Linked DNA regions of Rattus norvegicus. The protein of the gene in region 1 binds, or shares a complex with, the protein of each later gene. Links are inferred from orthologs where the notes say so. Each region holds a gene or a part of one and is shown on either strand. Other genes may lie near its edges. The genes, in order: Mtor, Rptor, Deptor, Rictor, Rheb and Fkbp3.

Region 1 (3,500 bases):
CTTGGCCTCGAACTAACTCTAGCAATCCGTTCTAATCTTCTGTCTCCTCATTCTGTCTTTACCTGTGTCTAGCTTGTTCTCTCTTCAGTCTGTTTCTGTGAATCTCCCTCTCCCTCTCCCTCTGTGCTGCTCTGCCCTCCCTCACTCCACTGCACTTTCTCCATGAACTCTACTGTATTCCTAGACTGTACTCTTCCTCCTGGACTGTCTTTCCCTAGAGTAGACTCCTTTTCCTCTCTTCTGGTGAGAGTTGGGCATATCTTATTCTGTCAGATCTTTCTTTGATTTGTTACTTTAATCTGTCTTTCAATTAGTTTGACATCACTCTCAAACTAACTTACCCTTCATTGTTTAGAGTTAAAGTACTCACTTTAGTACTTTAAAAGTACTCACTTCAAGTAAAGTAGAAGTACGAACTACTGAGGGTGTGTCTGTATTCCAGCCCGAGGGATTAAAGGTGTGTGCTAAAGGCTGAGCTACACCATAACTAGAAACAGGTTCAAATAGCCTGTAAAAAATTGAAAGATGTTCTTCCCCAAAGAACCTCAGGGCAAGATGCTTGGGACAGGCCCTGCCACGGCCACCGCCGGTGCCGCCACATCTAGCAACGTGAGCGTTCTGCAGCAGTTCGCCAGTGGGCTGAAGAGCCGGAATGAGGAGACCAGGGCCAAAGCAGCCAAGGAGCTCCAGCACTATGTCACCATGGAACTTCGAGAGGTTGGTCTGTGGTGCTTCGGGGCCGGTCCTGGGGGATCGTGGCTGGTGTGCCACCTCTGGTTTAGGTCGCCACTGAGGCCCAGCATTTGAGAGGACACTAGCTTCCAGGTCCGTGGAGGGTGCAGGTTCCTTTGCAAGGACTGCACATTTCTGTAACATGTTCTGGTCTCAGGTCAGCTGTTTATTTTGTATGATTTCTTTCCTATCACCAGCCCCTTGGTTCTCTGTCTCTGACAGTGGTTGGGGTGGATCTGGAGAGTTGATAAGTCTGAAACTTTCCAAACAGACCATAGTTGAGGTCAGAGATACTGACCTGTGTGCCCCTGGTGTTAGGGTGATTTTAAGACAAGCTCTTTTCTGCTGTAGAGTAGAGAATCAGTGAGCTGTTGTTAAATAAGCAGGAGTCATGTGATCAGCTGCCTTTCACTTTAAGGCTGTGGAAATGGGCTATAACCTTGTCTTTGGTTTGAACTGTGCCTGCCCCCTCTCCATCCGAATCTTCATCCCTACAAATACACAAATCTGTCTGTGCACATCTTCCCCTGCAGATGAGTCAGGAGGAGTCTACTCGCTTCTATGACCAGCTGAACCATCACATTTTTGAACTGGTTTCCAGCTCAGACGCCAATGAGAGGAAGGGTGGCATCTTGGCCATTGGTAAGGACAGCCTCTGGTAGCAGCACCTGTAAGGACACTGGACAAATCAACTTGGTGCTTACTGTACTCTGTCTGCGCTTGCTAAAGAGTAGCAGTATCTGTTCATCTATAGTTTCAAAGAGTTTTAAGGCACCCATAGACAGGGTGCAAGTAGACAAGTACTAATTCTAGCAGAAGTCCTGGGACACACGCAAAGTGCGCTGTTACGTGTGACAACTGAGTCTCAGAACTGGTGACCTCTGTGGCCAATTTGCCAGGGGCGAGACTAGAAGCCAGCTCCTCATTCTTCTGCCCTAGGTGGCCTTCGGCAGGTCTGATCACAGTAGAGCAGGGTTTGGCACAGTGGGGTTCATGGATGCAAAAGTAGAAATGCCCTGTTTGCCCAAGGGCTGGCCGCTGGTCCTGTGAATTGCCATTCAGCCTTAAGGATAAGATGTACAGATAGGTTAGAATGAGATCATTTTGATTGACATATACAGTTCCAGAACAAAAATCCAGTCTGCTGGTTTGAATGAAAACCTGCCTTCTTCCATGTAGAAACGTACTGAGAGCAGAGTAGGGCCTCACTCACCCGTCCGCGTGCAGCTCCGGCCACATGCATTTCAGAACACGCCACATGGTCACCTCTGCTTCTTTTCTAGCCAGCCTCATTGGAGTGGAAGGTGGGAATTCCACCAGGATTGGCAGATTTGCCAACTACCTTCGGAACCTCCTCCCCTCAAGTGATCCAGTTGTCATGGAGATGGCATCCAAGGCCATTGGCCGCCTTGCAATGGCAGGGGACACTTTCACTGCTGAGTATGTGGAGTTTGAAGTGAAGCGAGCCTTGGAGTGGCTGGGTGCTGACCGAAATGAGGGCCGGAGACATGCAGCTGTGAGTTCCCACAGGGCTGAGCCCAGCCAGGGCGAGGAGCAGCGCCCCCGTCCCCCTAACTCTACCCCCAACCCCACCCCCGCCGTGTGTGGAGCTTGTCCTGGGAAAAGGGCTCCAGACTGGAGGTGGAGAAAAGCCCTGGCAGGGGGGCCCAGGATAGAGCTCTCCCAGCTGCTCCCCAGGTTAAGGAAGGAGCATCCACCCTGGTTAACGGCTCTGTCAGTCACAACTTTGTAGCTTGGCTGCCTTAACTGAAGACACCAGTCTTCTCTGACATGAAAATATTAACAAAATTGAACATCATGTTTTTGCCCAGTAGCTATTTATTGACTACCTAATGGCAGGCATGGTTCTCGACTTGTTGGTTTGCTGTTAAAGTGTCAAATTCCTGTGGGTCCTGAGTGGGTTTAGATGGCGCCAGCATTCTGCGCTGAGCACTGAGGTGCTTGGTCGGTCTTCCTTTGCCTCTCCTGGCACCAGACTTTTTTTTTCCTTGTAGGGAGATGCTCTAGGATGACAGGGAGTATCCTGAGAGAACAAGAGTCCTGGTAGGAGTAAGAGTTCTGTTTGCCCTTCTCTCCCAGGTCCTCGTTCTCCGTGAGCTGGCCATCAGCGTCCCCACCTTCTTCTTCCAGCAAGTTCAGCCCTTCTTTGACAACATTTTTGTGGCTGTGTGGGACCCCAAGCAGGCCATCCGTGAAGGAGCTGTGGCTGCCCTTCGTGCCTGTCTGATTCTTACCACGCAGCGGGAGCCGAAGGAGATGCAGAAGCCTCAGTGGTACAGGGTGAGGAGATGACTCCACAGTAGCTGCGAGCAAAGCACTTTAGTAGTCACACCATTATTTTATGCATCCCCAAGAATAGAAGTGTGTCAGTCAGAGGCTGTGTCGGCACACCTCTATAATCCAGCATTTGGGAAGCTGGAGCAAGAAGCTTCTTATCAGTGGTTGTCAAAAGACAGGAGTGGGTGTTTCTGAATCAGTAACCTGGTTGCCACTAATGTCCAGAGGCCAGTTCCTCTGCTCCAGTGCCCTGAGTCTGTGCTGATGGCTGCTGCCAATGAAATGTATGTCACAGAAAGAGTCCTAAATATGGCAACAAGACACCTGCCCTCCCTTCTTGCCTTTGCTGTGTGACATTTGACACATTGCTTAATTTCTTTATGTTTTATGTGGCTGTCAAGCAGAGGTGGTAGTGGCATTTGCCTCAGAGGTGGTATGTTGTAAGCATTAGAGCTAGGTTAAACAAAAGT
Region 2 (4,291 bases), on another chromosome or scaffold:
TACAGTGGTACACATCTGTAATCCTAACACTTGGGAGGTGGATGAACCAGGCCAAGGCCATTCTGACTAAACACCAAGCTGGCCTGCACTACATAAAGCCCTGTCTCCAAAGAGAGAAACATTTTAAATTAAAAGTTCAAAAGATATCCATTGATGTGATTTCAATAGTTTGAGTACAGGTTTGGATAGCAAAAGGAACCACATTCTGGGTTCAGTCCCCAGCTCCGAAAAAAAGAAAAAAAAAAAAAAAAGGAACCACATTCAAAAGGAGGAAAAAAAAATTTTAAATAAAAACTGGACAAAATAGGACTGGGGAGGGGGGAAAGGGAGAGAGTTGCTATATATAAACATTACAACCAAAAAGAAAATGTTATTTTGTTAGTACTAGACATGTCTATAAAACAGACATTATGCAGTCTCTCTCAACCATCAGTTCTATAACTTATATTGCTTCTATTCTTCTTGTTTAAGACAGGGTCTGCACTTTGTAGTCCAGGCTGGCCTTGACTTGTGATTCTCCTGCTTTAAGCTCCAGAGTGTTGGGATTACAGGACTGACTGACCTTTGCCCAACCTAAACTGCTTTTCACTGAAGGAAATTTTCATAACTTTAATCCCAGCACTCAGTAGGCAAAGGCAGGCAGATCTCTGAGTTCAAGGCCAACCTAGTCTACAGATTGAGTTTCTCGACAGCCAGGGATGTTACAGAGAAACCCTGTCTCAAACAACAACAACATCAGCAACAAAAATTGATAGCCTTGTAAAATTTACCCAAACTGAAACACTGGTCCCTGCTAGAACTACATTGAGTATTCATCAATATACACCTTTTTAAAACAACTGTCTCAAGTAAAAGCATATCAACTATAACAAATGACACATTATAACACCAACTTCCTCTTTTATACTGAAAAGTTCACACAAATGTACAAAGTCAGGAAGGAGAAAACAACTAAGCACTCAAAGGATGAGTGTGCAGACAAGAGACAGTACTCCCCTTTTGCTAGATCAGGAACTGACCGCTACATCTGGCTGTTTTCTTTGCTACAACTACTCATGACACTCCACCGGCAGGAGAACGGCCTAAAACCTGAACCCAGGTTCCAACCCATCATACCCCATGCTCCCAAATTTCCCACTGAGGAAATATCTCCAGGTTACAGCGACCAGAAGTCACATACTAGGGGAGTCAGCCTCCCACGGAAGATGTTCAAAGGACTGGGATGAAACTTGCTGCAACTTTAAAATAACTTTGCCTTAATTTGTTATTGGCTAAACATTTCAAGTAATCGTTTCCCAACATACTGTACCAGACACCTGTACTTCAACCTGGTTATTTGGAAAAAAAAAAAAACAAAAAACAAAAAAACAGCAGATACAAAAATAGACTAAGCACGACGTTAAGTGTTATTTCCAAAATTGTCTTTTCTCTAAATGCTACTAAGTGTATTAAAAGGCACATAAATATCTGTGGAACAACAGTTCCTAATTTGCTTTTTCCACCCTCTGAATTAAAACTCTTTTGAATTAACACTACCCAGTGAGTATCGACTAGCCCTACCCACTTTCAACCAAAACCAGAGTCTGGAATAACTTTTAGTTTTTAATTAACGTGCAACATGTGGCTTCAAAATACCAGCATTCTTCTAGGAGAGGCTGTTCTTGCTCAGAACTTTCTTAGTTGGAAAACTATGAACTCAAAAAGATGCCATGAGAATCTACTTACCCGATCCTTCATTCTCCAGCTCTGTGCTAAAGATTTGGAGCCTTCAATTTTCTCACAATGTCTCTTTTTCATAAACGCCAAAGGCAAGTTCCAATCTGTAAGGTCTGCCTCATCTTCCTCCCCGAGTCCCATAAGAGGCGACTGCAGCATCTCCGACTCCATCAGGGGAGGAGGGGGAGGGGGAGTCCTTGGCAGCAAGCGCTCGAGAACCTCCAGCCTTAAAAACTAGTGTGTACCAGAACTGGTAAAAGGAAATACAGGAAAGCGGGAAGTTGGGAATAGAGATGACGGCAGAGTGCACGAAGGTCCTTATTCAGGTAAAAACTCGGAGATCTTTATCTCGAACTCTGAGCGGGAAGTCGGAGAGGGCGGGGTGGGGTGGGGTGAAGAATCGGTGGGTAACCAACCCCGCAGCCCCAGGAGCTGCGCCGACACTCGCGCCCAGTCGCAAGCCACCCGCAGCCCAGGAGGTCGTCTGGAGGACTGCAAGCCGGACTGTCAGAGGCGGGAAAGACTTCAGGCCCGGGGATGACCCTGCTCTCGGCCTCCAACGCCTCAGTGGATCCCAGGGCAGGCAGGCCGTCCCGCTCGCAGTGCGGGTTCTCTGATTGCGCTGGCTCGGCTGAGGCGTCAGGGGATCGCGCTCAGGGGGCTTCGGGGCTCGTCCAGCGGCTCTCAGCCCTGCGGGTCCCGCACTCGCCTGAGGGGCTGCAACCTGAGCCAGGACCGGCCCATCGTGCCCGTCCGCAGTCGGCTCCTCAGCCCCGGGTCCGCGCGGCCTGGCCGGTGCTGGCCTTCGGCTTCGTGGCTCTCTCCTGCCCGGGAACGAGTCCTGATACACGCGCGACACGGGCCAGCGGACCACACGGGAATACTGGGCTTATTAGGTCAGGGGAGTTTTGCCCTCTGCTCTGGAGCCACAGTGAAAACTCCTCTCATCAGCACATCAAGGAGGACGCCATATTACCAAGGCCCAGCATGCACCGCTGTCTACGGTGTGTCCAATAAGCCAAACCTCTTCAAGCGTTCTCACCGCTCTACCCAGGCTAGGGCGGAGAGTTCGGCGTTCCGTCCTCCCCTCCCCCACGCCGTTACCCGGGTTACCAAGTCCTTTCTCCTTAGTTGATCTCCACTAGTAAAGTAGACGTGTTACAAAATCAATCCTGCGATTGAAACCATGTCCGTTCAGTTATTTTTTAAAAGCTTTTTGCTACTACAAACAAAGCTGCGTGCCTTGATATTAAAGGAAAAAAAAAAATCACTTTGTTTCGTCCTGATTTTAAAGGGTGCTATTTAAAAAAAACCTCAGAAAGGACTGTTGTTGATATTAGACACATAACACTATCAGGGCTTTGTTTTTAATATTCCCACTTTTAAAAAGGGAAAGATTTCATCGATTATGAATTAATTTTGTCTGATCTACCTTATTTCCTGAGTATTATACTCTTATTTTGCTACAGCTTCATGTGCAAACGACTAAGGCTGCTGCTGTCTGCCCACGGAAGCAAGCCTCCTGCCCTGCCTTACTTCTCTGTTTCAATTCAGTAAATCTCAGTTATTGACACACCCTGAGAACTGCTTTGGTGCAGTGGGGATATAAAGTAAACGTAACATGTGCCAGCCTTTCATAACCAGGGTGCTAGTGAGACACTCTTAACCTTTAGCTAGATTTCAGGCAGACGAAGGAGCCCATCTTCAGCTTTGGTGTTGGAGGCATCTCTGTTAGAGTCAGTGTTACTAATTTCAAGCTGTATTTTCTCAGCCTTAGGTTCCTGAACCATAAAGTTTGGATAATAATATTAAAGAATATTACTGAAAGGATAAAATTAGCTTGTGAAGATGCCCAGGCCACCCTAAGCTACAAAATAAGACCCTGTCTTTAAAGAAAAAAAAATCCCCTTTAAGAACAGGGTTGAAAGGTGGGCCCAGTGTTTAATCTCATTACTCTGGAGGCAGAGGCAGGAAGATCTCTTAGTTGGAGGCCAACCTGGTCTACGAAGCTAGTAGTTCCATGAGAACCAGGGCTACACAGAGAAACCCTGCCATGAAAAACAAAAACAACAAACAAACAAGATGCCAAGACATAGCAGGCCACCAATGAGAGTGAACTCTGACTGGTCCCACCACTCTAAAGTAGTCTACCAACTGTATGCCTTACCACTAAAGCCTGGATTAGCCTTCCAAAGATGTGTTCCTCAGAGTAGATAGAGAGTTGGACATAAAGTGGCAGTCCCTACCACAATCCTAGTAGCATCTGAGCTGCTTTCAGCCGGAGAGTTCAGGCTGCATCTCTCTCACCAGTATGTGGGAAGTGTTTCCTGTAGCTCTCTGTTCAGTTATCATCCCAAGAATTCCTGTGGTTACAGTATCACACAGAGCCCATTATCCTCCTAGTCTCGGAGCAGTGCTCCAAAATAGTGTCCCCATCACCACCAGCCCCTCCCCATCACCACCAGCAGGGGCTTCAGGACTTCCGGGATGTCTAGAAGAAATCCCAGCATCTCCTGCTTCCACCTTGTCCCTCTACTTTATTTTGTAGTTCTGATGCCCACAGGTGCCGTCCCCA
Region 3 (3,500 bases), on another chromosome or scaffold:
CCAGCTCTTTCTTCAAAGTTCTTATATCTACATAGATATATGTTAAAACTCCAGGAGTCTGCCAGCCACCCTGCAGATGCAGGCTCCATTGAACTTGGTGTCCCTAACATACTGCACGCATCTCATTTACTAAACTTCATTCTTTTCCCTAATAAGTAACCTAGAAACATAAGAAGGCCGCCTCAAGCTCCGAGGAGTCAGACTGGGTAACTCTCCAGCGTACTCTCCATGGGCTGGGTCTCTTCCCTGCATCCTGTCACCTCCATTTTTCATTTAATCTCTACCTGAGCTAATTCTCTAAAGCAGGACTTCTCAACCTTTGGGGAATCAAATGAAGCTTTCATAGAGATCGCCTAGACCATCTGCATATCAGATATTTACATTACAATTAATAATGTAGCAAAACTACAGTTATGAAGTAGCAATGAGAATAATTTTATGGTTGGGGTCATCACAACATGAGGAACTGTATGTATCAAAGGGTCACAGCATTAGGGAGAATCACTGATTTAGAGTCTGGTTCACCCCTATACTAATCTCATTCATTTTTAAAATTTGTTTTGTTTTTAAAGACAGGGTCTTGCTTGCATGACATGTAGCCCAGGCTGGCCTCAAGCTCGCGGGAATCCTACCTCAGCCTCTAGTGCTGGGATTGCAGCTGTATCCAGCCACCATGCTTGCTTCATTTGAAAGTGAAATTAGATATAATAAACTCATAATAGAAAATCCTAAAGCCACAGAAGTGTCTGACAGACTTAAAGCTGAAAGATATACTACTTAGTATTATATTTTTTTAAAAAAATTTTTACCATTAACTTTATACATAAGAAAACTGGTTCAGAAAAGTTAATTTGTGCATTTCCAACAACCTGTAGCTAAAAACGTGGGTAGTAAAATTAGGGTCAAATTTAAGCATGGGTGCCAGGGCCGGTGTTTTTAGCAACTCTCATACTGTCCTGTGCTACGCTGTCTCAGAAACTCTGGAAGACAGCAGTGTGGAGTATTGTCTGTCTATTCTTAGCTCACTGCTGTTGCCTACCAGGCATCAGAGACAGCTGCCTGAAACTCCATTAGTAAAGAACTTCTCCCTCTCTCCTCTAGTAATGAATTTCCCTGACCAGTCTTTGATAATTTGGAACTGGAGAGGGGTTGTCCTAGCATCCCAGGACTGCTAGTCGGGATAGGGCATAGGGACCATTCTAGCAACAGTACACAGAGAGCAGAGATTTAAGTGAATGAGGAGTCAGGGCCAGGGTCTAATCTGGATAGATGACCACCTGCAGTTGCCTTTGGCAGCAGATTCACTCTGAGGTCAGTCACTAGTCCCCAACAAATGGGTAGCAGCAGTAGCAGCAAGGGGCAGGACTGTATGATGCCTCCCCTGGCAGCTGGGCCCACCTGCCGGGTGAGCCCCAGGCTCAAGAAGAGCCAAGAACTGCTTCTTGGGAAGGGGACAGATGTCTGGGATTAGAACGTTTGCTTTTCAGAAAGCTTTGAAGCCATGAGGGATGAGGTCAAATATCAAGGATATTTGAAGGATGAGGGAGTAGGTCAAATATCAAGAGGAGAAAGGCGTCTCTCGGGCCCCAAGGAGGAGGTAGGAAACGTGGTGAGTGTTTAAGCACTGAGACCTTAATGCTTAGCAGACAAGCTCTTCTCCAAGCCTGTGACTCCTCTGGGGTTATGAAATCGATGATATTTTTGGGAGCAGAGCTAGCCATTTACTTTTTCCTTTTATTGTGTTGAGACGCAGAGACTTTGAGACCCAGGGAATTATCCTGCGGATTCCCTCTCGCTCGTCACCATGACATGGACGATGGCAGCAGCGATGGCTTTGTTCTTTTGAGAGAGTGGTGAGGCCAGATATTTATATCAACTAGTAAATCTATATATAATCCTCACAGAGATGACTAATACTTCCATTTTTATTTATTAGAGAGTGTGTCTGTGAAAGAGTGAGGTAGAGTGAGAGAGAGACAGAGACAGACAGACACGAAGACAGACAGACACAGACACAGAGATGTTGAGATAGCGCATGTGTGGAGGTCAGAGAATTCTGTTCTTTCAGTTCTTCCTTCCATCTTTACAAAGGTTCTGGGGATTGAACTCAGGTTGTCAGATTTGCATGGAAAACCCTTTTATGTTCTAAGTTATCTTGCCAGCTTTATGATGGTTAAGTCTTCATGGAGGCTGATGAGTAGGTTTTGAAACTGCAAGATGCCGATGAATTCCAATAGGTGGGCTTGAATACACCCACTCTCTTCTTCCTTATGTATAAGAGGCACTGAGACCAAGTGGGATGGTACATGCCAGTAATCCCAGCATCTAGCAGTATAGCAAACAAACAAATGTGAGAGTGAGAGAGAGAGAGAGAGAGAGAGAGAGAGAGAGAGAGAGAGAGAGAGAGCAAGCACACAGTCCACAGAAATCCTTGATCACCATAGTCTAGGAAAGCATCTACAAGTTGCTGAAGCCCTTTTGAGAGGCAGAAGAACTTCTCTCAGCAGCTGGTCTTGGCTTCTGGTCTAGCTAGTGTTGGTCAGCCCTTGGCTGACATTGAGAGCTAGCTCTCAGAAGGCAGTTTTCGTGAGCAAAGTTATACCTTCCTTTCAGGGGCATGCATGTTGAACATAAAGGGTCAACATAAAGGCGCAGGGCATCCTGGCACTGGACTGCATTGTGGGTTAGCAGTAGCCTTCCAGGAGACTTTATCGGAGGCCATGTGCTAGTCTTTCTTAGCCAGCAATGGGTGCTAACTCAAGAGTATGCTTTTGTAAGATTCCCGCTCCTGTGATCTCTGCGTCCTAAGGAACTCCGCCAGCACACGACCCCAAGCCTCCCAGATAGGAGCATGGCCACCTTTTTGTCACTCACCAGATTTGGGGTTGCAGAGCACAGGGGGGCTGCTGCTGAGCGTCGGGCTGCTGCTGAAGTAGCCACTGCTGCCACAGCTGCTCATGCTGCTCCTCCGCACGGCAGACACAATCTTGATCTCCTTGCTGGGGCTGACTGTAGAGGGGGAGCAAGCACAGTGACTCTAGGAGTCCTAGAACTCCTGGGCTTTCAGCTGCAAAGCAAAAATCTCACGTCCAGTTCTGCCGCATACTCACAGACAGAGTAACTCAGGCCACCCCCTTTCAGTTTCCCGGACTGTAAAATGAAATAGTAATATGTCACGGGATGGGTGTGAGGCGAGGATCATATCATATTATGTATGTATATGTATCTCCCTCTCTGTCTCTCTTTTTAAAACAGGGCCCATAATGTAACCTATGCCTTGGAGTCCACACAACAGCATATCTTTTTTTTTTTTTTTTTTTTTTAAATCTTAACATCTTTTATGCGAGTGCAGCGGATCTAAACTCAGGTCAACCTATTTGGGCGTTAAGCACTTTACCAACTAGGGCCATCTCTCCTACAGGACATGAATTCAAGAATTACCAAACCTGGGCCTGGAGAGACGACTCAGAGGTTAAGAGCACTCACTGCCATTACAGAGG
Region 4 (3,934 bases), on another chromosome or scaffold:
CTTACAATGCAGAACTATCTGACTTCGCAGTCAGTGTCTGATATGCCTGGATGTCTCTTTCACAGATCACTATGACCACGGTTGTCCACCTACACAGTAGACGTCACAAAACAATCTGCATGACAGCAAACCTTGCCTTAGCATAAAGCAAAACAAAACTTTAGCTGCTCAAACTTTTATCTGTTTCCGTATTGTAATCTAATCTACAAGCAGCTGCAACCCAGATGCCTCATGGGTCTGAAATCATTACTAAAGTTCAATTCCTCATGAACTTTCCTCATGTGTGATCCACAAGCTTTTAAACAATGAAGTGTCTGTTAAACAAACACTTTCTCTAATCAGCTGTCTCACTATATACGAGTCTAACTCGTAACTTTTTTCTGCTAAACTTCCTTATGGTTGAGGCCTACAGTTCTCAAATAACTTCTCGTTGTTGTGCATTGCTTTTGCAATCAGGTCAACTGGCTATGAATACGTATTTGGAACGCTAGTACATTTTATCAGGGCAAATGAAAACATTTTCTAAGCATTTTCTATAACCCTAGGAACAGCTATCTATATTATATTTATTACATAGATGTTTAAGTAAACAGTCTCAGAGAACTGATTCTTTTCAATCATACCCATAGATTTGTCTGAGTTAATATTTAAGCAAAGCAAGTTTCAAATAAGCTTTTCTACAATCCCAAATTCTGACACCACCACAGAAATGTATAAAGATTAACAAAATCACACACTACACAGTTTATCTCCAACCCCATATCTGAACAGGCTTTTACTGTACGCCAGGCTCAGGTTTACCTTGCAGTCTCTTCTCACAATTTCTTGAAATCACTGACCAACTACATGGTTAGAAAAGCACAATTCTGGGGCTGGAGAGATGGCTCAGTAGTTAAGAGCACTGTCTGCTCTTCCAGAGGACCTGAGTTCAATTCCCAGCAACCACATGGTGGCTCACAACCATCTGTAATGAGATCTGATGCCCTCTTCTGATGTGCCTGAAGATAGCAACACTGTACTCACATACATAAAATAAATAAAAATCTTTAAAAAGAGAGAGAGAAGCACAATGCTAAGTCTCAGATCTGTATTAGGATACTCAGAATGCTTGCTGGAAATTTTTCATATATATATATATTAAATTTACAAATTAAAAAAAGTCAAAAGCTTGACCTTTTTCTATACTGTTTCTCAAACCTAGCTAATAAAAAAAAGTTCCAAATCACCGATTTAACTAATTGCCATTTCTAGAACTTACACACCACTGTACTGTATCTTAAAAAAGTTTCTCACTTTGAAAGGACTAGTTTACTCAAAACTTCCTGAACTATCAGAAACAAATAACAAACATGTACTCATCTAACTAAATCAAAACTATAGTCTTTCAATCTACACCGGGCTCTTACAAAAACGGAAACAGAACTGAGAATGAATTATGCTGTCAATACAGAGATGGGTCTCCCAAAACCGACATCCACCATCCTTATACTTTATACGATGGTCACTACATACAAGGTGGGGGGGGAACAAATTTATGCCATGTGGAATGTTTACGAGTGTCTTTTCTTTTCACATCCTAAGGTGTTTTACGGAACTCGAAAAGTGATTCCGCACAGCAGAACTAGTTAGTTACACTCAACTACAACGCTGTGGGAAGTGACTGTCGAAATCTGTAGTCCAACTCCTGTTTATGGAAGAAGAGAAAAAAGAACTCCTTGCACAGAACTACTAATGCTTTGGCGAGATACTGTGGAATAAACACCAGTCTGGTGGCCGGTGACCCAAGCAAGAAACACCGATCACTCGGCGGAGACGGTTCTTAAAAATGCACGCCGGGCTTGCCCTGCAGAGAAGGTGTAAACAAACGCATCTCCACTGCAGACAGAAGGTACACAATGAACCTGCGGCAGTGAGGGGGCGGTCTCTAGCCAACTACAGCCCCAGCGGGCCCGGGAACGGGAAGCAGCAGGGAGACGCGGCATAAAGCAGACACTTAGCAGTAATCACCGGCTCTCGATTTCACCGCCGAGTTCGCAAAGCTGCGGGGCCCCCAGAGGACCGCGCGGGCAGAGAAGAGCAGTCACGCAGTCAGCAAGAAGCCGGCAGATCCAGCATCTGCTCCGGGGGACGGGGAGGGCAGGATGTGGTCGCTCTTCCCACAAACATCCTCCAGTAACCTAAATAACAACCTCTACCTCCCCTCGTCCGAGGCCGCCTCCGGGATTCGGGGGCCCGGGAGCGGACGGGGGGTGCAAACACGCTCCCGCGGGCGTACGCGCAGCCCCGGTCCTTGGGTGCACCTAGGTCCGCCCCGCGCTCCCGCGCTCCGGCAGCCGCCCCAGGCCCGGAGGGGCTCACCCGGGGGGAAACCGGCGCGGGGCAGGGGGATGGGCGCGGGCTCGGCCCCTCGCTGCCCCGCGGGTCGCGTGCCTGCCCGCCCCAGCCCCGGTGCACAGCGGCCCCGGTGCCCCGCGTTACCTCGGGTCAGATCCAGCGGGACGTTCTCCTCGCCGCTGTCATTCCGCCCTGTGCGAAACAGACACACAGCCCCAGTTAGGAACCATCGCAGGCCAGCGGCGCCCGACGCCCAGTTTGCTTCCCCCACCCCAGACCCCGGGCAAAGCCGAGCGCCGCGGCGGACAGCGAACACCGGGTGCGGAGAGCGAGGGCGGCAAGCGGGTTTACCTCGTATTCGGAGGTTCTTCAGAGAGCGGCCGCGGCCGATCGCCGCCATATTGACGGGTTTCAGTCACAACACCGGAAACCTCGCCCGATCGCGCGAGAACCCCTTCCCCTCCCCGCGCGCGGTTCCCGCCCCCCCCCACCTCCGCCCCCCGCGACAGCGCCCCCGCCCCTCGGCACGGAGGCTCGCCCGCGGGCGCGGAGCAACCAGGCGCCGACCCGGGGTGGGCTGCGACCCCGGCGCGCTGAGACCGGCAGGGTGTCGGAGCGCAGGCGTGGTGGGAGGCGCAGTTCCCACGGGGGATTCCCATTGATGTGGCTCGGGCCTCGGCGCGCGCGGCGGAGGCCGGGATGCGGGCGGGCCACCTGCTGGACCGCCCCGCTGCACTCCCCGCGTGGCTTTAAAGCCCGCTTCGTTACTCATCGGCTAAAATTATCATTATTTTTTATTATTATTAAAAGAGAGGGTGGGGTGGGGAGTGAGGCGCGCGGTGCACAGTTAGGAATGTGGCTTTGATCCTTTCCCAGAACCGCGGTGCTCCGAGTGAACACGTAACAAAGTTTGTTTTCCACCCACGCTCTGACCATTGAGCTAAGCGGCTTCGCGCTTGATCTTAGGCAAAGCTGCTCGCCGCCGGAGCGGGCGGCTGGGCGGAGGTTTGCTTTCGGGCTGCCTGGCATCGGACGTGCAAGGAGTGCAGAAGCGGGCGTGCAGGGCACTCGCCCGCGCGGGACTCTTCCCCAGCGCGCGCCAGCGCCCGGAGGCCCCAGACAGGGTTTCTTCTCCACCCGGAGCCTAGGGAGGAGGCTGAGCGCCTGGTCCTGGCTTTCTGTTACTCCTACATCACTGACTAATGCGGATGCGTTGGATAGATGTTTTTAATGCATACAAGTAAAAGTGATTAGCTTACGAGTTTCTAGAAGCGGTTTATTACGTACTCATTTGGCCCTTCTCTCTTAAACTAGATTACTTTAGTGAGAGGGTATTTTGTCTCCTCCAATTCCTCACCTCTCTATTCCAGACTTCAAAGTAAGTGGAAAGTGGAGATCTTGCCTTAACCACTTCGTTTTTTCAGTACAGACGTCAAAAACAAAGATCTATTGGCGTAAACCTTCTGCTCCTTCTGCCCTAATAGTGTTGTAAACAATAGTAATGTTCTCAATAGAAACAAGCAGACCAAACCCCCTCTAAAACCACAAAGAGAAACAAATATTGGAAAGGCTCCCCTTGTTAATAATAGTGAACAATTGT
Region 5 (4,239 bases), on another chromosome or scaffold:
GACATTGAGGTGACATGTCTGCAAAAATCTTCCCTACTGCAAATACCAGGAAAATACCACAGAAGAGAATTTTACTGTCCCATTTTAAACCCTTTTCATAGGTTTATCAATGTTTCAAAAACAAATGAAGGGGTTGGGGATTTAGCTCAGTGGTAGAGCGCTTGCCTAGGAAGCGCAAGGCCCCGGGTTCGGTCCCCAGCTCCGAAAAAAAAGAACCAAAAAAAACAAAAAACAAAAACAAAACAAAAACAACAACAACAACAAAAAAAAAAAACAAATGAAGACTTGAAAGCCACATTTCAGTGCTTACTGAAGCAAACTTAAAAGTCTGTGGCACGTCCAGTAACAATGCCCAGCAGTATAGTCAAAGCAGAAAACCATTTACTCAAAAGAACAGTATAAAAAGGCATGGTTTTGAATCAATCTCTCTCTCTCTCTCTCTCTCTCTCTCTCTCTCTCTCTCTCTCACACACACACACACACACACACACACACACACACACACCCTAGAAACACTGACATTTCTATACTAGGGCACTGAACATATCTCTTAGGTTCTGAGAAGTGGGTAATCCTGGCAGAGCGGCTAGTGCATGCAATCATGCTGGCAAAAGACCAACCCACTCCTCTGCAAAGAATCCTGAAACTATAAAATATTTCTGTTCATAGGAAAGCAAACTAAAGTCAAAGGAAACATTAGGAGTAACGTAGTATCTTACTTTAGGCATTACCCTTGCAAACAACTATGGAGAAAACAGGCTGTGTGACACATTGGGGGCATTGAAAATAGGCCTACAATCCTGTGCTCCTCCACCAGCTAGCACCACACTTCCAACCAGCAGCCTAGAGTGAACCTTTGTGGGGAGAAGTATAGGAGTAGCCAGGCACACCTATCCCTGCTCTAGTGGGGCTTTCACAGGAAGACCAGTCTAGGCTATACAGTGAGTCCAGGACTACCTGGGTTACATAAGACCTTGCCTAAAAAATCAGGATGGGTTTCTACTGACAGAAGTTCTATAGCCAAGGAGACATAACACCAAACTTATTTAAATCCAGTGCCATTCCAAAAATTACAAGAAAATAAAATCCAGACCTGTAGAATATTCTCACGGATTGATATGCCTTGCACATTCAAGATTACCATCTTCAATTAGTTAACACTCTGTATATTTATCTAATTAGAGGGTACTCAATCAACAGCCAAGTTACATCGTGGTCTCATTCTCCGAATTGGGGGGAAATTAAGAAACAGTCAACAGTATGGTGATCCAGACAACCAGCATCGGTTACCTCAACCAGGAGCTCCATAGTGGTGTTTAGTACATGGTCTCTTAGAGACACTGAAACCGTAATTTTGTGGATGTTAACTCTAGGGTTGCAACTGTTAAAGCAGTCACCTACTCTTTCCTAAGATAAACACCTCACTTAGCACCTTTCCACTCTAGGCACCTTCAACTCTCATACTGTCTCCAATCTTCCAACTCCTTCCTAAGGGGTTTCTCCAGACCTTGAGGAAAGATAGTGAAAGGATGAGTAAGCAGGCCCAGACTGATGTTGGTCAAAGAGCACAGACCCAGACACCAGCAGTGGAAAGCCGGGTGAGAACGCAGAATGAAAAGCCTACAGGAGTCCGTTCAGGGGCAGGCTTTCTACTGGCCACCTCCTTCGGCAACCAAACTCCCCACCTCCCACTCACTTCACCACATGTCAGTTGTCCCTGTCAAGCATACATTTTTCGGAGACAGTTACGGCTTTCAAACAGCACTTAAAGATGAACATGATGTTCTCGGGTTCCGGTCAAAGACAATAAAGCCTCGCCCTGCAACGTGGTCAAGTTCATACGTCCTGTTTCACATAAGAGACTGAATACTACTGTCTCGACACCTTGTACCTTCCCCACTCCACCCAGGCCCACCTCTATTCGGCAAAAAGATGACTACTAGGAGCAGCTTCAAATGTATGTCAATCGCTTGGTGGTGGTGTTGGGAAAACAAAAGGGCTTTTGAATTACTTTAACAGCCTGGTTCAAAGAGCCTGGCCTTGTTTCTTCTCAAAGGGGGAGAAAATAGGACACCGAGAGTTCGGAGATGTCTTTCTCGCCTTCCCTGTGCTGGCCGCCAGCTGCTACCTAGCGGGCCTATGAGGGGTCCAGTCTAGGTTTCTTGGAGGCGGAAAACTTGGTGGCCAAACATCTTGGAAGTTTCTCCGTTTTCTTTTAAAAGGTTTAATTTCTTTACAGATGGAAAGGTCACAGGGAGAGGTTTCCTTTGTTGAAATGCCCGGGGCTTGTGGGATTGGGGAAACGGGTGGGGATAGACCGTGCTCAGAGAAGGCGGGACAGACACGGGGATCCGACTAGACTGCTCCGGGCCGCAGGACCGGTGCAGTGGTCCGCAGCTCCTACGCCTAGAGAAGAACTCAGTCGCCTCGGCCTGCGGCCCCGCCACCTGTCCGTCGCGCCCGGGTACAGGGGAAGGCGCCGCCGCCTCCACTCAAAATGGAGGTTATGAAACGCGCGCCGCCCGCCCGCCCGCCCGCCCGCCACATGGCCGCGCCGCCACAAACTTCGCAGGCGCGTCCACGTCCTGGGGATCAGACCCCGGCATCACCGGGGCCGCCACTCACCCACAGACCGATAGCCCAGGATGGCGATCTTCCGGGACTTGGACTGAGGCATCTTGGTAGCCTGGTCAGCCCCGGCCCAACCACATCAACCGCAGCGGCGGCGACTCCTCCGGCTCAGACTATCGGCGGCGGGTGCGCCGGGGGAACGCGGCATACAGAGCGCGGCGGCGGGCGCGGCTGCCTCTTGCTCGCTCGTTCTCTAGCTCGCTCAACCGCCCGGAACCGAACGCGCGGGCCCTCCCCCAACAACACACCCACGTGACCGCGCGCGGCCGCGTCTGCGCCGCCTCCCGCCACCGCCTCCCAGCCCGGAACGCGCGGGGGTGCGTCGGGGGAACGTTTTACTTTAAAGGGAAAAAGCGGAGACGCCCGAAGGCCCCCGGAAAAGTCACGACCAAAACTCGCTGCGTCATGACCCTCCCACCTACTTCCGCCGCTTTTTAATTACGACAGTCTTTCCCGAGCTCTGACTGGACGGCTTCCAGACTGCCGCGCGATGACGCAATGGAAACTCCATCTTCTATTGGGGATTAGGAGGGGGTGGAGCCAAGGAGAGACACTGTTCAACCGGGAGCTAAAAATACAACCTGGCTGCTTTTGCTACGCGGGGCGCCTGCGTGATCCAAAAGCGTGGCCCTACGGGCGAGTGGGCGGGCGGACAACTCCCCAGTGATTGGCTGATATGGCGTGCGGGGGCGGAACCATAGGCGAGAAGCGCGGTCATTGGTGAAGTGACGAGCCGTTGGCCGACTTGCGCCTGCCGGCCCTTAAAAGGCGTGAGGCGCGTGGCCCTAGCTGACGGGCTGTAGGTTGGCTGTCACCTCTCTTCGTTCTTGTCTATACTTTAAATTACCGTCCTGCTATGTTAGCTTTAGTCTGGGCTTAGTGTGGGTGGTGACTAAGCTTTATTCGTGGCTGAGGAACTGTGGGAAGAATGGAATCTGTGCAGAACGCAAATGTCAGAGATTCCACTAAAAGCAGCGCGAGCTGGCCAGTCCTAGTGCGGACTCGGGCAACACGCTGGGCAGCGCGCACCTCGCATAGAAAGGCGCACTCGTGGGTATCCTGCAGCCAGATCAGCGCGTCTTTTCATACATAACAGTCGAGATGTTATTTCTGGAGAAACGTGAAAGTCAGCCATTGTCAAGAACGCTGAGGAAAAGCAGGCGGCTTCGCTGTCTGGTGTGGGCGGGCCATGCCTGAAAAGGGAAGGCTGTCATATTTTCTGCAACAGGCGTACTGGCACAGAGCCCTTGTTTCCGGAGAACTAGAGGATTGGGATGTCCTCATATTGAAGAACAGGAAGAAAAACTAGTCCCTAGGTCTAGTTCATGAAAGCCCAAGCTAGGCCTGGAAATAAAGGTGCCAAGAGCGTGAACAGCACGCTTGTCCTTAATTTCTTGTCCTTCACAATAGACCTGTTTTTATAAGGTCTCATGTAGTCCAGGCTGGCCTGGAATTCTTAAGAGATCCACCTGCCTCTGCCTCCAAAGTGCTGGGATTAAATGCTGCCCTGCTACCCTTGATCTTTCAATTCTGTCTTTGCCCAAGTGCTCTGATTTCCGGCTTCCAAACCATGTTTATTCAGTGCTAGGAATTGAACCCAGGATGAAC
Region 6 (4,170 bases), on another chromosome or scaffold:
TTTAAATGTATTCTCAAACCTGGAGTGGTGGCTCTGGCCTGAGGTGATGTCTGGAGAATCATGAGGTCAAGGTTATCCTTGGTTACCAGAGTTGCTAGGCCAAGAGTAACATGAGTAAATAGAATGTAGTTTTTGCTCTTCTTCAAATGAGGTATCACTGTTAACCTGATACTACTACATACAATGTTAAGATACATAACTTTGTGATCCCAGGGCAAGCATCCATTGTGACCGTAAAATGATTGAATATTTAAACCTGAAGATGAGAGTAAAAGCAAAAGTAGAGTTAAATAATTAATATTTTTCTCCATTTATCCTGAGAAAATGCAGTCTCATGTTACAAATGGCAACTTTAATGTTTTGCCTGTCTAAAGAAAGTGAATGTAATCTGGCTCTGTATTGAGAAACTAAAACAAATTTTTGTCATGGTATTTCTTTTTCTGTTTCCCTCCGTATGTTCTTGTTTCACACAAAGGTCTTGCTCGGAGGCTCACTCTGGTCTGGAACTGAGCATGTAGATCAAAATGGTCTTGAGCTGGCCAATGTCCTGCCTCAGCTTGTAAAGGGCTATACAGGCTCCTGAGTGCTTCAGGCATACAGATTTAGAGCAGTAAGCGTTCTTGTGCAGTTCTGTTAGTCATAGCTTTCTGCTTTCAGACTTGGGTACCAGTACAATTTTAGTAAATCTCTGTTCCCTCAGTTACTGAAGCAAAGTACAAACACACGTAGCTCCTGCTGTATCGGAAAGATGTATTTTAAGTGTAGCTTAATTGCATTGTTTTATTCAAGCTTCTAAATTTGTAGGCAAAACTCTGTTGGGGGAGGTTTCCATTTAGTTTTGTGAAAATTGTTTGATGGACAAGTACTAAGTCAATTTAGATAAGATTAGAATAGAACTAGATAAAACGAAACAGAAAACTCGAATGCTGTTATTTTCTTTAAAGAGTTTACAATCTGTACTTTTAAAGACGTAGTAGGCCGTAAATAATAAACAGGTGGGGCTTAGAAAGCGTCAAAATAAGCTTTGACATCATCACTGCGTTCATCAGGCTAACCGACTACCACAGATCTTTCTACTCAACAAGGCTCTCACAACCCAGCCTTGACATCACCCTAGCCCACGTCTCAATCCCCTTTAGGACGACGGCGGCCCCGCCCCTGAGTTTCCCTGCAGGCCCCAAGAAGACTAAGAATGGCAGAAGTCCCGCCCCCTCGAGCATGGCGCATGCCCAGGCCACGCTTCAGGGGTGGGGCTGCGTAGAATATGTGGGCTGACTCAGCAAGGCATAGGACCCACCCCTAGAGCGTGGCGCAAACCCGGGCCACGCCCTGGGGGCGGGGCAGCGCCGGGCTGAGGCGGGCTGGCTCAGTGCAGCAGCAGCAGCGGGGGAAGATGGCGGCGGCTGTTCCGCAGCGTGCATGGACCGTGGAGCAGCTGCGCAGCGAGCAGCTGCCCAAGAAGGACATTATCAAGTTTCTGCAGGATCACGGTTCAGATTCGGTACCAAAGGCTTCTGGGCGGCCGGGCTGGGGCGTCCCGGGGCCACTTCACCCCCCCGGAGATGCCTTACATACCGGATTCCTCCGTGCCCCCGCCCTCGCCTTCTGTGGCCCGTGCTGGCCAGGCCCGAGCGGCCCGCGTGAGCTCCCACCCCTTGGGCCGCCCCAGTTTCTGCGGGGATCAGCCCTTGTTTCCTAGGCCAAGGAGCTGCGATCGTAGATTTAAATCTCAGTTGGGATCTGTGAGGGCCGAGGACCTGAGAAAAAGGAACCTTGAAATGTTGGCGTCTCAGGCGGGGGCGAGGAACGGGGAGTGCATGCTTCCCGGGCTCAGAGTGTGCTGGCCACTGGGAAATGGGAGGGGTGTAAAGCTGTGAGGGAGTCTCGTGTGCATCTTGTTTGTCTTACCAGTGTATTAAATACACTGGTCCTAAATACAATGAACTATAATCTGTGATTTTCAAAAACCCATGTATTAGTGTTTTAACTTTTTCGTTCCAAAGCCTTTTACAAAATACCTTAGGGGAATTAAATGCGAATTTTTAATATTGTGGTCTTCTATGATTATAAGCACGCAGATTTGAAAAATTCTAGTTGTATAATGCAGTTTTCAGCCTTGTCTGCATATTAGCCACCCATTTTGTAGTCACAGGATTATTTTGTTAGACTTTGACTTCTTGTCCTTCAGAAAGGGTCATTCATTCCGTCCACCCTCACCCCCCAACTCCTTAATGTGTTTTGGAGGCAGCATCTTACATAGCCCAGACTAGCCTCACACTCACCTCACATTCACCTCGAAAGTGCTAGGGATAACAGCCCTGCGCCATATATGTCCTGTTCCATACCTCAGCTAAATTGTTGAATGATGGTACACGTTGTGCACATATCTACTGTTCAGAAATAGAAAGTGCGGCCTAAATTAGGTTTTCCTACAGTTTTCCAGAATCTAAAATGTCAAAATAGTGAGTGTTGTGTGATTCCAAAGTGAAAATGAATTTGGTGACAGACATTTAAATGCGTATTTTCCAGTCATCATTCACCTATTCATGCCTGTGTTTTTAGAGTCCTGCTATTTCAGTTTAAAAAAGTTTCTGGGTTCCTTTGAAAAGATTGTTTTTTCACTTAAGATCTCGTTGGGAGATTCAGGAACTCTCACACATGGCATCAGGATATGGTTCAGCCCATATTTTGGAGCATGTGCAGTAACCTGGAGACCTGTGTTTGAATGAATACGCAAGGGTGAAAGGGAAAGACACCCTTGCAGATAGACCTGTATATCATTTTACTGGATAGTCTCTTAAGCCATTATAATTTTCAGCAGTAGAGTTAGGCATTTAATACCTGAATACTGTACTTCTCTAAGCTGTCTTTAAACAGCTTATTTATCCCACTGTAAAATGTAAAGTTTTTAATTTTTTCCCTTCTTTTAGACTCTTAGGCTACGCTGACCTGACTTGGACAATTTCAAGGGACTTGAAACAAATAACAGTTTTGTAATAATTTCTTTTCCCCAGTGATCATTCTCTTACCTAAATTAGTTGATGGTCATTATTTTTGTTAATCATAAAACATTAAATAGTTGTATTTTAGATATTTTTCTGGAATCTCAAAGAAATAACAAGAGTGTTGAAGTAACTGATTATTCTATATAACCAGCTTTTATCTCCTTTCAACAGTCCTTCATCAGTTAAAATCAGTTTTTTATAGTAGTAGAGGTCTTGGTGGTCTATGCCTTTAATCCTAGAGGCAGGTAGATCTGAGTTCCAGGTCAGCCTGGACTCCACAGTAAATTCTAGGCTGGGCAGGGTTACAAACAGAGAGGAAGGAGAGAAAAGGTAAAGACAGAAAAATGCAGTGGAGACAAAAACAAAAAGTAGCTTACAGAACTCTTTGGTGCAGGAGACAGCTTGAGAAAATAAGAAGATTTGGAGGTTCAGAACTTCCAAATACAGTAAAGGAAGGAGACTGGAATAAAGGGCTGGAGAAATGGCTTACAAGTGTGATGTTATGTTAGGATGCCCAGGACCACTCTGAAGCTGTAGGAGGGAGTATGTGCCTATACTCACAATGTCTCATGGGAAATGGAGACTAGAGAATCCTTGGAAGCTCTTAGGCCAGTGAGCCTGTAAGAAAGAACCTGTCTTAACATGGAGAGCAACGCCCGCATATGGAATTCTGACTTGAACATACCATGCATGCTTTTTGTGTGTCCATAGGCACTCACAAACACACAAAGGTGTTTTAAAAATTGGGTTTTTAAACACAAGGTTTTTAACCTTCACCAGATTTTAAGATGAACATACTATGAATTTATTGATTTTTTTTTTTTTTTTAACTTTTGTTGTTGCTTACTTTTTGCTTCTTGAGACAGTCTTACTGGGAACATAAAGTTGGCCCAGAGCTCTCCATCCTGACTCAGTCTTGAAGATGCTTTGTTATTTTACATTTATATTTATATATTGGCTTAATGTGTGTGGGCATGAGTGCCGTGACACTTGTGGAGTTCAGAGGACAACTTGTAAGAATCAGTTCTCTGGGTGTGGGCTCTGGGGATCAAATCCAGGCTTGTGCAATGTGACAGACTATTCCACATCAATTTATACTTCTGCTAATCTTGTACTGTAGAGAACCTGGGTCTTTTAGACCTTACTCTGTGTGTGTGTGTGTGGG

The links.
Region 2: the proteins of Mtor (region 1) and Rptor are in contact, whole or in part, in a cryo-EM structure (PDB 6BCU), measured with the Homo sapiens proteins. The link is inferred for Rattus norvegicus from reciprocal best matches to the Homo sapiens genes MTOR and RPTOR. Residues at the interface, in NP_001373429.1 of Homo sapiens: His597, Thr600, Pro632, Val644, Ser645, Gln646, Thr647, Ala648, Val649, Ala653, His686, Ala688, Gln689, Glu691, Met721, Asn722, Pro723, Ala724, Phe725, Met727, Pro728, Phe729, Arg731, Lys732, Leu734, Ile735, Leu738, Thr739, His743, Tyr771; in NP_065812.1 of Homo sapiens: Phe278, Lys282, Cys283, Ser285, Leu286, Pro288, Gln380, Ala381, Asp383, Leu384, Asp387, Glu411, Gln412, Thr414, Ala415, Val418, Trp419, Thr421, Met422, Arg427, Asn428, Glu431, Gln432, Lys973, Ile974, Asp979, Leu980, Glu981, Ser982, Lys986.
Region 3: the proteins of Mtor (region 1) and Deptor are in contact, whole or in part, in a cryo-EM structure (PDB 7PEC), measured with the Homo sapiens proteins. The link is inferred for Rattus norvegicus from reciprocal best matches to the Homo sapiens genes MTOR and DEPTOR. Residues at the interface, in NP_001373429.1 of Homo sapiens: Met304, Gly305, Phe306, His1494, Cys1498, Trp1501, Gln1525, Asp1527, Ser1528, Glu1530, Glu1531, Cys1534, Met1535, Ile1536, Arg1538, Arg1547, Gln1554, Leu1556, Leu1559, Gln1562, Cys1563, Lys1566, Arg1683, Leu1685, Asp1686, His1687, Lys1710, Ile1711, Phe1714, Gln1715; in NP_073620.2 of Homo sapiens: Arg54, His56, Leu57, Lys58, Thr59, Tyr60, Pro61, Val101, Arg116, Lys119, Asp121, Gly122, Thr123, Phe124, Lys131, Ala132, Arg135, Arg138, Lys142, Glu177, Gly178, Glu179, Glu185, Cys304, Asn305, Lys307, Gly335, Asp336, Ala337, Val338.
Region 4: the proteins of Mtor (region 1) and Rictor are in contact, whole or in part, in a cryo-EM structure (PDB 6ZWM), measured with the Homo sapiens proteins. The link is inferred for Rattus norvegicus from reciprocal best matches to the Homo sapiens genes MTOR and RICTOR. Residues at the interface, in NP_001373429.1 of Homo sapiens: Arg1028, Asp1032, Lys1068, Leu1069, Asp1108, Asp1109, Tyr1110, Asp1150, Lys1187, Asn1196, Val1200, Gln1207, Asp1210, Val1211, Cys1214, Arg1215, Lys1218, Gly1219, Tyr1220, Thr1221, Leu1222, Ala1223, Glu1226, Glu1227, Asp1228, Leu1230, Ile1231, His1234, Arg1235, Arg1238; in NP_689969.2 of Homo sapiens: Leu204, Arg205, Gly206, Asn209, Arg245, Asp247, Val248, Glu249, Glu251, Arg252, Leu254, Thr258, Asp259, Phe260, His261, Tyr262, Arg263, His264, Ser265, Pro266, Asn306, Gly308, Ser311, Gly314, Val315, Cys317, Ile318, Pro319, Glu345, Ile347.
Region 5: the proteins of Mtor (region 1) and Rheb are in contact, whole or in part, in a cryo-EM structure (PDB 6BCU), measured with the Homo sapiens proteins. The link is inferred for Rattus norvegicus from reciprocal best matches to the Homo sapiens genes MTOR and RHEB. Residues at the interface, in NP_001373429.1 of Homo sapiens: Arg62, His69, Glu73, Ala101, Thr102, Ile104, Gly105, Arg106, Asn109, Tyr110, Arg112, Asn113, Phe140, Glu143, Tyr144, Phe147, Glu154, Arg160, Thr969, Gln973, Phe977, Lys980, Glu1010, Phe1011, Gln1014, Met1018, Ser1050, Thr1051, Asn1264, Lys1293; in NP_005605.1 of Homo sapiens: Lys5, Ser6, Arg7, Lys8, Arg15, Pro37, Ile39, Glu40, Thr42, Gln57, Ala62, Asp65, Tyr67, Ile69, Gln72, Thr73, Ser75, Ile76, Asp77, Asn79, Asp105, Met106, Val107, Gly108, Lys109, Val110, Ile112.
Region 6: the proteins of Mtor (region 1) and Fkbp3 are in contact, whole or in part, in a crystal structure (PDB 5GPG), measured with the Homo sapiens proteins. The link is inferred for Rattus norvegicus from reciprocal best matches to the Homo sapiens genes MTOR and FKBP3. Residues at the interface, in NP_001373429.1 of Homo sapiens: Glu2032, Tyr2038, Phe2039, Gly2040, Arg2042, Tyr2088, Val2094, Leu2097, Tyr2105, His2106, Arg2109; in NP_002004.1 of Homo sapiens: Lys160, Pro161, Leu162, Ser163, Lys170, Tyr198, Lys201, Gly202, Gln203, Pro204, Asp205, Ala206.

Annotation. Positions count from the first base shown.
Region 1 is NC_086023.1:164,170,985-164,174,484, forward strand, and holds part of Mtor (serine/threonine-protein kinase mTOR), read left to right. Parts: intron 1-541; 5' UTR 542-555; coding exon 556-717; intron 718-1,265; coding exon 1,266-1,374; intron 1,375-2,015; coding exon 2,016-2,248; intron 2,249-2,832; coding exon 2,833-3,033; intron 3,034-3,500. UniProt on the Homo sapiens protein: Serine/threonine protein kinase which is a central regulator of cellular metabolism, growth and survival in response to hormones, growth factors, nutrients, energy and stress signals.
Region 2 is NC_086028.1:105,375,452-105,379,742, reverse strand, and holds the start of Rptor (regulatory-associated protein of mTOR), read right to left. Parts: upstream 2,801-4,291; 5' UTR 1,888-2,800; coding exon 1,726-1,887; intron 1-1,725. UniProt on the Homo sapiens protein: Component of the mechanistic target of rapamycin complex 1 (mTORC1), an evolutionarily conserved central nutrient sensor that stimulates anabolic reactions and macromolecule biosynthesis to promote cellular biomass generation and growth.
Region 3 is NC_086025.1:88,512,745-88,516,244, reverse strand, and holds part of Deptor (DEP domain containing MTOR-interacting protein), read right to left. Parts: intron 3,010-3,500; coding exon 2,875-3,009; intron 1-2,874. UniProt on the Homo sapiens protein: Negative regulator of the mTORC1 and mTORC2 complexes: inhibits the protein kinase activity of MTOR, thereby inactivating both complexes. DEPTOR inhibits mTORC1 and mTORC2 to induce autophagy.
Region 4 is NC_086020.1:57,538,145-57,542,078, reverse strand, and holds the start of Rictor (rapamycin-insensitive companion of mTOR), read right to left. Parts: upstream 2,801-3,934; 5' UTR 2,735-2,800; coding exon 2,686-2,734; intron 2,527-2,685; coding exon 2,479-2,526; intron 1-2,478. UniProt on the Homo sapiens protein: Component of the mechanistic target of rapamycin complex 2 (mTORC2), which transduces signals from growth factors to pathways involved in proliferation, cytoskeletal organization, lipogenesis and anabolic output.
Region 5 is NC_086022.1:11,011,944-11,016,182, reverse strand, and holds the start of Rheb (GTP-binding protein Rheb), read right to left. Parts: upstream 2,801-4,239; 5' UTR 2,678-2,800; coding exon 2,626-2,677; intron 1-2,625. UniProt on the Homo sapiens protein: Small GTPase that acts as an allosteric activator of the canonical mTORC1 complex, an evolutionarily conserved central nutrient sensor that stimulates anabolic reactions and macromolecule biosynthesis to promote cellular biomass generation and growth.
Region 6 is NC_086024.1:88,858,953-88,863,122, reverse strand, and holds the start of Fkbp3 (peptidyl-prolyl cis-trans isomerase FKBP3), read left to right. Parts: upstream 1-1,370; 5' UTR 1,371-1,393; coding exon 1,394-1,501; intron 1,502-4,170. UniProt on the Homo sapiens protein: FK506- and rapamycin-binding proteins (FKBPs) constitute a family of receptors for the two immunosuppressants which inhibit T-cell proliferation by arresting two distinct cytoplasmic signal transmission pathways. PPIases accelerate the folding of proteins.